Oreochromis niloticus: one gene and its partner. The protein of the gene in region 1 interacts with the protein of each later gene in a pairwise test. Links are inferred from orthologs where the notes say so. Each region holds a gene or a part of one and is shown in the gene's direction. Other genes may lie near its edges.

Evidence for each region. The genes of interacting proteins can lie anywhere in the genome.
Region 2: the proteins of lnx2a (region 1) and scly interact in binary tests that used the Homo sapiens proteins (3 or more experiments, as listed by UniProt). The link is inferred for Oreochromis niloticus from reciprocal best matches to the Homo sapiens genes LNX2 and SCLY.

Annotation. Positions count from the first base shown.
Region 1 is NC_031974.2:18,923,261-18,930,562, reverse strand, and holds the start of lnx2a (ligand of Numb protein X 2a), read left to right. Parts: upstream 1-4,283; 5' UTR 4,284-4,457; intron 4,458-5,508; 5' UTR 5,509-5,896; intron 5,897-6,683; 5' UTR 6,684-6,841; coding exon 6,842-7,245; intron 7,246-7,302.
Region 2 is NC_031986.2:32,420,353-32,428,149, forward strand, and holds the start of scly (selenocysteine lyase), read left to right. Parts: upstream 1-4,785; 5' UTR 4,786-4,993; coding exon 4,994-4,996; intron 4,997-5,077; coding exon 5,078-5,175; intron 5,176-5,510; coding exon 5,511-5,620; intron 5,621-6,023; coding exon 6,024-6,124; intron 6,125-6,223; coding exon 6,224-6,401; intron 6,402-6,999; coding exon 7,000-7,127; intron 7,128-7,431; coding exon 7,432-7,587; intron 7,588-7,670; coding exon 7,671-7,777; intron 7,778-7,797. UniProt on the Homo sapiens protein: Catalyzes the decomposition of L-selenocysteine to L-alanine and elemental selenium.

The DNA of each region.
Region 1 (7,302 bases):
GGAAATAAATCCCCAACATAAAGCATTTTAGTAAGAAGATCTAGTGACTGTGAAAGCCATGAAGTAAAATTTACATTCATATTTAAACCACTTAGTTCCCTGAGGATGACTCCTGGAAGAGACGACTACCATCGGGATAGAACTTTTTCAGCACAGGAGAAAGGCCATCGTTTAAAATCTTCATATTGACTTTCAATGAGGGGACAAACCATGCTAGGAGACTGCTCTCTGCCACACAGGCGCTCATCCACCAGTCGAGAATACGACCACTCGCTCTCAAATGTGCACTGCTCATTGTAATGAGGGATGAATGCAGTGCAGCTCTATTGTAATTGTTTTACAGTAGGGCGGTTCTTGGTGACAGTCTGATTACATCCTGCACTGACATCCTCATTCATCTGAGAAGGAGTTGCTCTTTACTTTTACTGGGTGCACTGATGCACGACCATCACTTTTATCAAATGTGTGCAGTCGACCACAGCTTCCAACCCCGTTTTACTGACGCCTTTCCCATTGATCTAAATCGCTCAGAGCAGCATGGGACCGTAAATCTAAACACATTCAATGAAAAATCAATCAGTGCCTTCCATCTGTCCTCCTATCAGTATCAGATATTCTTTTTTTAGTACAATAACTTTATTGTATGTAATGAATCCATGCTTCCTCTTACAAAATGAGGTACATGTCCTCTGAATACACTCTTTTATAGTCTACAGTATTTCTCCAGCATTTTTTAATACTCATAACTTAGGAGGTGAAAAACAAATTGGAGCTTTGTTAAAAGCAGCAACCAAATCAATGTAACGCCCACTGCAAGTGTCAGGATCTAAAGTAAAGTTTTAAATGGGATATATTGGAGTTTTGGTCATTCACTGAAAAAAAAAAAAAAAAAAAAAAGCATTTGGGTCAATTTTAAAGGGTCACCATGTCAGATTGGAGGCAGGTCAAAACAAGATATATCATTTACCTACATTTTTACACTGGGGTCACCTTCTTCTTTGCAATCTAAATCATTTTTTAACACAGTCATGATTTAATACTACTTTCGCTCTCATAGATTTTAAATTTGTGCAGTTTTGCTATTAAAGCTAGGATCTAGCCCATAATACTGATGCTCAAAGTTTGCTCAGGGGCTATAGAAAAAAACATTACACTGCCTCTACTATGAACATCCTGTCTAAGATCATTAAGGACAGCGTAATGGGTATCTGTGTCTATTTTAACTTTCACTTCAAGTTAAAATAAGTTTGTATTTGATGCATCTTAATTGTATGCACTGCTCAGGGAGATGCTCCAAATTTCATTGTGCACCTATACAGAGACAAATACATGCATTCTATTCTCTTCTATTCTAGGATGTGACATTTTGAGCACGTGTAAAGTTCATATGGTTGCACTTTTTAGCGGAGTATAAATGAAATTAAAGGTTCATTTTAAGTAGATATATTTTGTAGAAGAAGTTATGAGGGTTTGAGATGCTAGAAGAAATAAGCCAAATTAAAAAGTGCCAAAATCTGACCCACTCATGCCCTCTTCAAGGGACTGCAACATTGAAAATGGTCATTCTGAAGGTAAAATTTTGGCTTTATTAATCACACTAAAAATATATATGTGTGTGTGTGTGTGTGTGTGTGTGTGTGTGTGTGTGTGTGTGTGCGCGTGTGTGTATTTTGTTGTTTTAGTATGGAATGATTCTGCTCTCACTTTACTCACTGCTCCTGCTGAAACACCAGGAGTTGTGTGACTGTCACATAGATACTTTTTCCCCATTATCCCATTACTTAGATCATAATCTGAATTAGCAGGACCTGCCTAGGATTTTCCTACATGCTATGGATGCCAATTACTTAACTGTACCATGTACTGCACCTTCGACCTTCAGTCATTTTTATTTGTCACCACTCTTATCCCTGTTCTACACTGGATTCAAATTTGAGGTGGGTTGATCAATCCAAATATAGTATCAATAGTATTGATACCAACACTGCTTTTGGTATCAGATCCATACTAGTGCAATAGGAACGATACTTTGTTTCTATCCTCTAAGTTCAGTATCTAGCCCAAGGAATTGCTTTAAATCATTTTTAGTGAAAAATATACTTCAGGTATGCACTATGAAAAAATTACAGGAATCTTTTTTTGTGTTAACCTCCACATCAATTTTATTTATAGCTTATAGCACATTATAAGCTAGAGAATTTAACCTAACGTGCTGCACATTTAGACTGCAAGTCTCCAAAAAAGCCATTTTCACAGAAAGCTAAAAGATGCGTTTTTATGTGTTAACTAATTATAGTGAAAAGTAACAATGACAGCGATTTAATGCTCATTAAATCTGTTGCAAATGAATGACGATTTATTAATTTTCTTTTACAATTTACAATTATCGGTATCGGCAATATTGGCCGTCTATGTACCTGGTATCAGATCGATACCAAAAATCTACAGTATCGCACACTACTGCAGCCATTTTCATTTAGTTCAAGTGCAATGCACACATTATGTGGGGTTCAACTACCAAGCCTTCTTACTAAAGCAGATAAGTAAGAGTCAGACAGATGGCATATCAGACACGGTGCTCACCATCCTGCAGGGCCCATGGTCTCTGCTCTCACGCGGGCTCTGTCAGTCTCCCTGAGGAGCTCCTCCACTGCACGCCTAGATGGATAAATAAAGAGAAAAAACGTCAAACACTGTTCACATGCAGGGGAGGAGAAATGGGGAGAAGCCGAGGACAAAGATGGCGCAAATCCTCAAGGGGGAGCCAAGGGGAGAATAATCTAATTAAGTGAGAGAAAACAGAGTGATGCGGAAGAGAAAGTGAATCATCAGGAGCAAAAGGGGAACAGTGTCCTGGTTTGACCCGAGCTGCTGAATCGGCACAATCCCAGCAGAGGAGACCCGCTGATCTACTTTTATAAAGGACAGGCAGCTGATGGTGTGTGCCACCACGAAGGCAGGCTTTCCATACAATCACAAGCTCGTCTAACAACACAATAAATGAGGCTCTTTTTTACCGACGGAGCGCTGTTACGGATTTAGAGGAAACCTGCGTTCAACAGTGCGCAAATACCGAGTGAGGACAAATATTAACACAGCTACATACTTCTCCAGCTCATTATCTTCTGCCATCGCGATCACACGCAAGCTTAATTGCGCTAAAATCGATGGATGATCGTTAATTAACCCAACATCGCTTGTTTACCTCCTCGCGAGGTCCTCCGACCGAGGACCCCGAGGATTTTTGCTGCCCTGAATAATGCCAGATCATTTTTAACTTCACCGTCCACCCTTTTCTGTTTTCTGCCATTTCCCAAATAACTTTCGTGGACAGTAACCGACTAAAACGTTATAATAAAAAAAAAGAAATCCTGATATTTAGGTCTGGGCTCTGTTTATCACACAGTTAACAAAATGTACCCGTTTAGTAAAACGAAAGCGATGCCGCAGTGGTTGTTTTTAATTCCCCATTTTTACCGTAAACTGGTATAAAGCTGCTGTGTTCATCAAAAATATTAGCTTAACTTAAGAAGTTGGCAGTGGTTTTGTCGTCATTATTTCTGACCATAGAACGACCTAAATTCTGGTGAGGTTTGTTTATTTTATTGCTCTGCTTGGTGAATGTTATACGTCAGTGGAAAGGTTTTTGTGCTAATTAACTATTAACATCTCTCAAAACTTGTTGAGAAAGGGAGACATTCTCATCTTTAAAAGCGGCATTTATCCAAAACTGAAAGCTGTAATATTAAGTTTCACTTATTATTTAAAATAAAACTAAGTCATGTTAATAAGTTTTAATCTCACGCCCCCTTTAAACCTTTATAACAGTAGCCTACAATGTAACCAGTAATCTTCAAAAAGAATAACTTACAGTATGTATGCATTTATTTATTTACGTTTTTGTTTGTTCCCTGTATTTATTTATTTATTTATTTATGTATATGTATTTACTTATGTATTTTGCATGTATGTATGTATGTATGTATGTATGTATGTATGTTTATATATTTATTTATTTAGTTATACGTGTTTATTCGTGTATCGATTTACCTATGTTTGTCTGCGTTACAAATATATCTGTTTATTTTGATGTGTTTGCTGACTTATTAGAATTTTTATGCATAAATATATTTAAACGCATTTTGTTTTATTATTTATTTTTATATTATATTATTTACTTATTTATTTGTCTATTTGGTTGTTAATTATTTATTTACGAAAAGGCGGTCTTAAAGCCACCCCCTAGCTCTCCTCTGGATTGACAACCGTATGCCCCGCCCACTCGGTTTTGACGGACAGCAGTGGGCGGGGTCAGCGCTGCCAAAGGCACGGGGGCGTTTTCGTGCGGGTTTTGCGGAACGGTCCGTTGCGGTGGATGCGTGATTGAGGTCCCGCGGCTAATAATCACCCCCCTTTTTGGGGCCGGAGTGCACGGCGCGGAGGAGCCGCCGGAAAAGGTAACGTCACATCACATCTGCCCGCGCGAGCGGTGTCAGTGTGTGGCTGGCTTTGCTTTCTATGCTGCTGTCGCCTCATCGGTCCCAGGTTTTTCCGCTTGTGGGGAGGGTGGGATGGAGTCAGACAGATGGGGGGCAATGATTAAAAAGAATTTCTGGTATATGCAAGACTGTCGGGCTTGCGTATTTGATCATGACACTGCAGTGGGAGCGCTCCCAAGGTAGATCAGGTCTATGCCAGAAAAAAATAATTGTAAATTTAAATTAAATCAGTGTCTTTTTTTTTGTTTTTTTTTTTTGTTATCTTTGTGTGTCTGGGTGGTGTGGAGGGGGGTGGTTTAAGAAAAAAAGGCAGCCTATTGCAACAGACCTTGCAGAACAGCAGCAGCAGCAGGCCTGTTCCTGCAAGTGGCTACCAGAGCCTTTTTTTAAGATAAGAGAGATGGGGTTTTATGAAAATGTAGGCTAAGCCGAGAGGACCTGAGATTTTAAATCTGTGGCCTAAAACATCATTTCATCTTCTTTGAAAATGTAATTCCTGCACACTGGACTGCCATGTCCTGTAAGATTAGATTGTCATTTCGAACAATAAGCAGAGAGACAAGAGTGTTATTTACTGAAATGGAAAGCAGTGCAATGACAATAACAGCCTGGCCTTGGACTCTCATACACACACGTACATACACACTGTGTGGTGGGATTAAAAGAGATATTCTACAAGCATTTGCCAGTCTTCATATTGTTTGTATAAAAGAATCTGTTGCAACAGCTCTGTTTAAAACACATTTAAGTGCTTTTCACTGCTCTGAAGTGCCGTCACAGTGAAAACACGAAGACTTTACTTATTGATAAAGACCATTCACAGGTACCTAAAAACGCTCTTGTGCTTGATGTGCGTGTTTGCTTTTGGTTGTGTAGACTTACGCTCGCATGTCTACGAGTGTGTGTGTGTACGTGTGTTTGTTTGTGTGTGTGTGTGTGATGTGGTGATGTCACATCTTTGTTATAGAAACAGAGAAGCCTTGTGTCCTCATGATTAATTCATGTCCAGCTGCGGGATAGAGACAGAAGCAGCCAGTCACACGCAGACAGGAGGAGCACGTACTTAAAGGAGGCTGAAATAAGTAACTACCGGTGGGGTGGCCAAGGAGACAGGAGGGACAGGTTGTCACAAGGAAGGAAAAAAAAAAGACCCAGACGAGATGAAAAAAGCAGAAAAAAACGACTCAAGGGGACTCTCATCATCATCGTCTGCGCTGTCTGACAAGCTTTCAGGCTGTACCGAGGAGGAGGAGAGCATCCTGCTGAGAGGAGTGCATCTGTTGTGTGGCTCCTCTGCATCCTTCTCTGGCTACACTCTGAATGTCAAGCCCCACTGAGCAGAACGGGATCCAGGTCGTCATGGAGACAGGAGCAGACCCTCGCTGGAACAGAGGCAGGTAGTCACTGTATCTTGGCTGGGCCCGCTGAGCGTAGAGGCACGCCCTCTGCTGTCGGCTGATAGCATCTGGCCCCTCGGAGGCTGGGCTAATAGAAGGGCCGAGGGGGTCTGAGGGGCTTTGGATGTGAAACGCTGTGGAAATGATCAGCGCACACTGCGGTGCATTAGCTCTGGGGACACGCTCTGCTCACTGGAGTGCTATATTTCAAGACTTTGCTTTGGGCGTGTTCTCTTTCCGTTGTAGAGGAGACTGAGTTCATCTACTGTACCCAGCCTGAACCAAAAATATCAAGCGTTTTCCTTGGCTTCCCCCTCCTTCCCTCCATCCTCTCTTCCATTTCATGTTCTTATTCTTCCCTTGTACCTGTTTTCACATCCCATTGATCTCTTCTTCTTTTTCTTATTCCACCTGTCTACGCTCCCTTCCATATCTTGTCGGCACCACTTTCCTTTTCTGCTGCTTTCCCAAGCTCACTTTCTCTGATCTGTGCCCTCTCTCTGCCTCAATCCCAGATAATTCCCTCTTTGTGGAATTGGAAGATTGGAGCAGGCGAGAGCAAAAGAGAGATTATACTACCAGATTAGTGGACAGAAGCAGCAATACATAATCTCAGCTGTGACATAAATGGGCACACACACACACTCGGTGTCACCCTCGGTCTCATGCAAACACGTGGGCACACGTGCACAAAGCATTTGCCACATGAATAAATGCCCAACACTTGTTGTCTTGTTTTTTTCTGAAACAGCTGTTTAACTCTCTTGTTTTGGCCTCTGACCCACAGGGTGATGTGCCATCAGCCACTGGGGGGCATCTGTCCTCTCCGCCACCTGTTCAGCCTCTGAAGCTTATGGGATAGGAGTGTGTGCGCCCCTTCCCAACCGCTCTGCATCCCAGCTGGACTCAGTCGTGCCAAAGCTGAATTGTGTTGAAGGAGAAGACATGGGCAGCCCGGGCTCCGAGGTGGGTCTGGCTGGGTCCATGGAGCCAGCTCTGGAGGCTCTGTGTCCCGAGTGTGGCCAGATCCACCGCAGCTGGGAAAACCACCTTTACAACTACCGTCTGGAAGTGGACGACGATCTGGTGTGCCACATCTGCCTGCAACCGCTGGTGCAGCCTCTCGATACGCCATGCGGACACACCTTCTGCGCCCGCTGCCTGCGTAGCTTCCTCCAGGAGAGGGACTTCTGCCCTCTGGACAGGACGCGGCTGCAGCTGCAGGCATGTCGCAGGTCCAGCATCCTGGTGCACAAGCTGCTGGACAAGCTGTCTGTGTCCTGCCCTTTGACCCCTGTCTGCTCCCTCAGCATGCCTCGCTGTGACCTGGAGGCGCACCTTAAACACAGGTAATAAAGCTTGTATGCAGATGGATGAATGCATGAGATCATTATGACACCGTGCAT
Region 2 (7,797 bases), on another chromosome or scaffold:
ATCATCGTCATTTCAAGTCCAAGCAGAAGGTTAGACTGAATGGTCAGATTTTCACTTTTTCTGTGAACAGTTTCGTGACCTTTGCTTTCAGAGCAGAGGGTTTACTGTCAGCAGCAGCTATTGTTTCCCATTTTTCAGGTTTCTTCAAGCTATTTTAAATCACTACCAAAAAATATTTGGACTCCTATAAAACGATTGCTGGAACAGCATTTAGTTTCAGTCATCATTTCCAGCAGTATTTGTCAGCTTTTTTAGTGAAATGCATTAAATGCATTAGTGCTGAGAATGCAGCCACAGGTTCTTTCTCCTTTTCTCAGCAGCAGCAGATTGATAATCATATCTCTTGTTTCCTTACTGCTGGAAATTACAATCAAAAGTAGCAGTGATACTGTTTATGGTCTGTATACTGCAGGTTGTTAAAAAGAGCATTTAGTTTATGTCACTGACCCAGAATGCATTACATACTAATAGTACTTGCAGATAGGTAAAAATGTGTGTTAAACCTGAAAGACTTTTTAAAACAATGACATTTTTCAACAGTTTTGTTGAATATTGGCTGTTTAAAGCATATTAAGGCCCACAAGTTAAATAGTCGGGGCTCCTTTTACACAGTTTTAGTCCTGTTGGCAAATTATTGATGAAAATGCAACCGTGCCTCGTTTAAAACCCTCAACAGATAAAGCGTGTGAGCTGTTGTGAGAAGTTAGACTGGTGAGCATGCCTCAGGTCATCCAGCCTAGAGAGCACGCTCAGTGAGAGCATGACATGTCATTTGAGAGTAAGTGAGAGTAAAATTAAACATAACTCCAGTTCAGTATGTTCTTAGTTTGGCTGCTGATGTAATACCTTCATTACGTCTAATAAGAAGTATCTTTTCAGAGGTTGTAAAGTATTCTGTGTGTTATGGAAATCATCAGTTCATCGACAGTTGTGACAAATCAAACAACCAGTACTTTTTTGTAACAAACAGATTAAAGTGTACTGTAGGCCACCATATCTCAAACATGTTTTTGTCACATCTCATTTCCTGAAATCCAACATGGTCAGAAAAACGAATGCGTGTCCCCGGGTTTGCTCCAGTCTGGTCTCCATGATTTTTTTCCTCATGTTTTTATTGGCCTTTTAATGTACATCACATTTGAGCCAACCAAAGTTTTGTTGTTGCAGTCACACAAATGTCACACTGAATGTAAACTGATCTTTGAAAATACTTATTCCGCTGAAATAATCGTTTTGAATTGTCTTCACATTCCGGTTCCTTGTTGATTGTAGGTAGGTTAATATCAGGGAACCTTTTGGAGGCTGTGGGACATGGCTGAAGCGGTCTGTCCACTAATGTATGGGGGGGGGGTGGTTCACTGTGTCCCAGCTGGGCATCATGTACAGAGTAATGCTGTAGGTTACCTTACTGTCGAGTGTTCAGTATCACCATCATGCGCTTGGCAGCCTTCACTAAATCTACTTTTTCTAAACCCTCCCCTTTTCAAGGAACATCATTTCCATTTTTGTGCTTCCATATCTTTTTCACACCATTACTTTTCTTTCTCTTCAGATATTTTTTGCATTGTATATAAACATGATTGCTGTGAACACTGTATTATAAAGTTGCACCCATTTACAAATGGGCCGTAGTTCAGTCAATGTCTCTGAGTGTTGGAGTTTTAGCGTCAGCTGTTTGTGTACACTAAACACATTGTCATATATGAAATAAACATGGAAAATATGCAACACAAAAAAATGACTTGTCTCTTTTTTTTGTTAAAGACAATACAACTTTTGTTTTTGGATTGTCAGTTGGGCAATCGCAGATGTTGTTATGATGGTAATAATGTTTATCTGGAAGATCCAAACTCCAAAAACCCAAATCAGACACCCAAAGAGCTCTGCCATCAAAGTCCATCTGGCAGACTTTGCAGCTAAGACATAGATGCATCACTTTAGTCTGTCATGACATCAGTTACAGCTAACTGTTCCTCCTTCTGCATTGCTTGGCTAATCAGCTATCTAACAGGTAACTATGCTCAGCATAGAAACATGTCACATGTCAGTCCTTATGTTGAAGTGACTCTAAGCCCAAGCCAGCTGTATTAGTGTTAGAATCATGAAGGTGAGAACTGTATGTTGGTGTCCTATGTTTTAATAGTCTTCACCAGAGTACAAATCACACATACTTTTCATGATGCAGTAAACTGTAAAAAATTGAGGCCTGCAGTTTGTGAGCTGTGAGCCCATAAAGTCATCAGGAAAACATTCACTGAGTTCACAGGTTAAGTAGCCAAGGCGGTTTTTCATACACTTCTATATGACTGAAAGTCTTTGAACATAAAATGTGAGTTAAAACATTTCAGCAGCTTCATTATTAGGGAACCTGCATCAATCTTTTATATATAGTTCATGTCATTTGTGAAAAACATTGCTGAAAATGACCCCATCATTTCCTCCATATAATGTAGTTGTAATAGAGTATAAGAAAATTAGTTCATATCTATATTTAAAAATGTTTCTTAAAATTCATATCAGACCCCAGAATCCATTACTGGCCAGGCTCAGGGACAAGACGGAGACGAAGAATCCTGAACTGAAATCGTTGGGAGATTTCCACAACAGCTTCCAAAGAGAACAAAATAGCTTTAAAAAAATTTTTTTTTCTAAAATAACTTTTAACTCTAAAAAGAAACAACTTTTTTTAATTAATCAGCCTTTTTATGTTAGAGTGAATTTAATGTTTCAGTTAAAATAAAATTAAAATAACTGTCTAAGTTACACATGGTCCATACCAATCAAGATGGCTACGGGGTGACTTTTAGAATTACTTTGGCTCTATCACTTTTCGTCCCTGCTAATCAGTATGTAGTATTTTATCACTATTTGGTGTAAAGAAACCTTTAATAATGACGTTAACTTGTTAATGAGGAAAGGTATCGCATATAGATTCAGATCATGAAGCGGGGACCATCATCTCCTAAAACAGACAAGCAGAACAAGGCCATTTTCACATATAACCACCTGCATGGTTGAGGCTTGACAGATTAATTTGCTAATACACCACCCTGAATTTGCATTGATTTTTTTTAATCACCCCCTTTGACTCTTTAAATTCAGCCTTGATTTTTGTTAATATATGCGTGTATCTTAGTAAATACAGGTACACTGCCTGTTTTTCTGAGCTCATGAAAAGTTGTATTTAGAGATGTGTAGTCCTCGGCCACGCTAAAAAAAAAAAATTTACAGAAAAATTATGGATTATTATAAATTAAAAGTCCCAAATGAATACAGACTATTAAGAATGAATTAATCGGAGAACAACTACGCTCAGAGAAATTAAATACTCCTGGCACTTTCAGCTCCCTGGCTGTTGCTAAGCAGCAGACGCCAGTGTTGCCATGTCTGTGTGTCAACGTTTTTTAAGAGCTGTTTCTAAAATAATTCTCTTCTTATTTTACTTACTTACTGTTAATATAAGTTTTCATCTACTAGATTTAAGTTGCTGGGGGGTTTTTTAAATTATTTTTTCAACATGGTACCTGCCGGACTTCAAACTAAATTAAAACTAACCCTTCTGAGTCTTCCCCAAGTTGTGAGGTGACAAATCTCTGAATAATTTTTGCTATTTAGTAATTAATTATATTTACAAAATAAAGAATAAAACACTGAAGAACATGACAGTAACACTCAACTCTTCTACATAATAAATTAATATTTCTTGTGCGGTTTCTTCGAGATATTAAACTGTGGGTTTTCTTTAACAAATCTGGCAACCCTGTCTGGGACGTGACAGAAACATGCTAGCTGGCTGATGATTGACCCGTAGAGTTGTAAATCCATTTAGGAAATCTTCACATCAGCTTACAAGGTCAGATACAAAGCTTTGGCTGTCCCTGGAGGATTCAGTTTCTTTATAAATTTAAGCTTAAAGGCGGAATCACAGTTAAATACGATCTTATAGCGAAACTAAGTTAGCTAAAAATTAGCTAGCTGCAGGCTAAAGTGAGAGCTGTCACAGAAAGTTAGCGTTAGGTGGATAATGAAGAGCTCGAGCTGACCGACAGTGTCCCTAAAGATATCTGTGGTTCTTTTAATGCGTTTTCTGTGTGCTGGTTGACTAGAGTGTTGTGAACAGGTCGCTGGATGTTACGTTTGCTGGCTACCAGAGGACACTGGACAACTATGACCAAAATAATCTTTTTTAAGACTGTGTTCACTGAACTTTTGGCACTATAGAGGGTCTGCTAATAAGTGCGCATTTTTATTCATAAATTTGTGGAGCTGTACGTGACTAACACTGCGTGAGGAAGCAATCCAAACCGTGTGCGTGGCACAGTCACTGGAGTTGGCAAGCATTCAGTTTGTGATGCAGAAAATCCATGAAAAAGTTTTAGACAAGTTTTACACTGCTGGAAATGCAGCGAATGGGACACAAGTTAGGCAGTCATTTAAGCTATTTATCACAGAGAATATTCAATCACTACGTTTCAGTTTCATTTCTAATGTGCAGCTGTCACTTTAGAAATAAACAGCATCTCTGAGATGTTTCTCATCGATGAGAAATCCATTTAAATCCATTAAAAAACAAAGCAGCAGATGAACTGTGAAATATCCAAGAATTGCAGATTCAACAACACGTCTCTGTTTTCCATATCCTGTCAGTCTACTGCCTCTACAGATTACAGATAGCAGCACAGATGAACAAAATCTTGTATTTTATGCAAAATAATAATGTGTATATCTTTGTATAATTAAAACAACTTACTGAAATCGATAAATACTTTAGTCTTTATTTATAATCCTGTTTTATAGACTAAGGCTGGTATCAGTTTTTACACTTTTGTTGGGCAGATTCAGGGTAAAGGTCTAAACTCGTTCAGTCACATTTTGACGTGTGACTGAACAAAAAACTGGATCCCAGATATCAGAATAAAGTAAATAAACGGACACACACACAAAGTATCAGCATCTGCCGTCAGTGAATGTCATCTTATTTGCAGACAGACTGATGGTAGTTATATTCTAGTTATAATGTAATTTATCTACACACAGACATCCAGGTAAATGAATTAAATGTTCTTTCCTCTCCAAGGGTATTATGGCCAAAAAGCTTGATGATGTCCCGTTGGTACAGGGTCCCACCTTCAGTGAACATAATTTTCATCACTTTTCAGAGATGAATCTAGACAGGTAAGAAAATAATGTTGATATATATCAAGTTAATAGTACAGCAGCAGTGATGCTGTAACTTAGGACTGCTGAATTACAGCAAAAATACTATTGATTTATCATAATTACTCAGGTTATAGGTAGGTTTTAGAAAATTTGTGCATTTTAAAAAAATATTTTTCTTATTTTAAGAATGATCAGAAACCCAAATAATTGATTGTAATTTAAGTAATTGAAATTTGACTTTTTTATGAGTTGATCTTGTCATTAGATAGTTTATTAATATGTTATGATGCATAAACTTCCCGTAGCACAATGCACAAAGTGTGATCAGAGGTTTTTTTTGTGTAATTCAGGATCTACATGGATTACAATGCTACTACCCCTCCAGAATCAGAGGTGATTCAGGCCATTTCTGAAGCCCTCCAGGATGCCTGGGGAAACCCGAGTAGCAACTATATAGCAGGTGAGGAAGGCTTGAAGCTGTGTCAGAATTAAAAGGTTTAAAATAATTGTTGTTATTTTTATTTTTCCATGTGTATTAAATAAAGTTTTGTGAGAATTTTTGTTAAAATTCCACATTGTGTGTGCAAATCCTAAACTAGTGACAAGAATTGGACATTAGTGCTCTAACTCTGTGCCAGTATTCCTTTATGAAATATGGCAAGGTCACTCTACCAAATAAATATAATAGAAACTCTTAAATGTATATTGTGTAACTGGAGGAGGGAATACAATCACAGCAGCTTGTGTGGATTAAACTTGTGGCTTTCTCTGAGTGCTGAATGTGAAGTTTTTACTGTTTTAAATGAGTTTCACCATCAAAAGAGAATGCTACATCTCAATGTTTCAGTCATTTATATTTTCAGGTGCTAAAGCTAAGGCTATCATCAATCAGTCCAGAGAAAATGTGGCAAGAATGGTTGGAGGGAAAGCAGAGGACATCGTTTTTACCTCTGGCGGGACTGAGGTGGGCAGGGCTCTTTTCTGTTGCAAATAAGTTATGTGAGTCATTTATGATCCTGGGACATTACAAACTGTGGTTTACAGGAAAGATTTTGTCTTTCAGGCCAATAACCTGGTGCTGCACACCGCTGTAGAGCACTTCAGGAAACACTGCAGGGCTGCAGAACAGGGTGCAGGACACCAGAATGGATGCACGGGCCTTCCTCACATCATCACTTCTAATGTGGAGCATGACTCAGTCAAACTAGTTGCTCAGCACCTTGAAAAGGAAGGAAAAGCAGGTAGGAGGCCACTCTGTGTAGCTTTTATTAAAATAAAAGATTAATAAAGAAATATTTCTTGTATTACAAAGGACAGTGTAGGATTTTCTTTATTGTACTTAAAAAAAAATTCTCTCAATAACATGCTGCAGATTTCCTGTGGATAATTAAAATGTCTAAAATAAAAATCAAGACAATTAAAGGCCAATAACATTAATGTCATAATCTTTTTTTTAATGAAGATGTAGTACCTTCTATGTGCCAACACGTAAGAGTGCTAACCCAATGGAAAACTTTAATTTAATTCTGCTTTTTTACATTTTAATTTTTAATTATTGAGTTTCTGAAAAGGTCTTGAAAAGCACTGATTTCCATTTTTAAATAGTGCCGGGTCCTTGATAGTCTTCCAGTGGTGGTTCAAGTTAAATGTTGCCAAAGAATTAGTCATTTTGGCATATAAACTGCTAAAGCACTGCCTCCTAGTGGTGAAAGTTTTGGTTTAATTCTGTGGAGGGTAATTACAAAAAGTACCTTTAAACAAATCAAGATTCGCATAACCTAATGTGGGCTCCTTGCCTTTAATTACTTTCTCAACTTTGTTTTTTGTTTTTTTCCATAGACGTGACTTTTGTGCCCGTGTCTAAGGTGACAGCCCGGGTAGAGGTGGAGGATATCATTGCTGCTGTGCGCCCCAACACTTGTCTCATCTCTGTTATGCTGGCCAACAATGAGACAGGAGTCATTATGGTAAGATGAGAGAGAGGCTAGAAAATCCATCAGCCGAGTTTCTGTTAGTACTAATCTATCCATTCATCAATTTTTTTCCACTTACCCAGTTCAGGTTCGTGGAGGGGCTGGAGCCTATCCCTGCAATACTAATGTTAGAGAAATAATTTTTGGGGATCTTAAATTAGACCATTAACACGTAGGATAGTGTCTAGCTTTAAAGGAGCTTATTTTCTAATTAACTCATTACTTATAATTGCAATGTGTCTATGAGTCTATGCAGCTCTGTGTACAGCTGAATGCTGAACCACCTTCTTGTTGTCAGCCGCTTCAGGAGATCTGCCAAAGAATAAAGTCTCTGAACAAGCAGCGTGAGCGCCTCAGGATCCTGCTCCACACAGATGCTGCTCAGGCGTTGGGGAAAATCCGAGTTGATGTCAGTGATCTGGGAGTGGATTACCTCACCATAGTGGGACACAAGGTCAGGATCTGCTGTGTGGGACATCTTAAGAGCTTTTTATAGCAAGGCTAAAATGTTATTGAGAGGTTTTGTTGTGTTTCTAGTTCTATGCCCCTCGCATTGGTGCTTTGTATGTGAACGGCCCTGGGACAAAAACTCCATTGTATCCGATGCTTTTTGGTGGAGGACAGGAGAGGAACTTTAGACCAGGGTGATGATCTTTACTGTAAA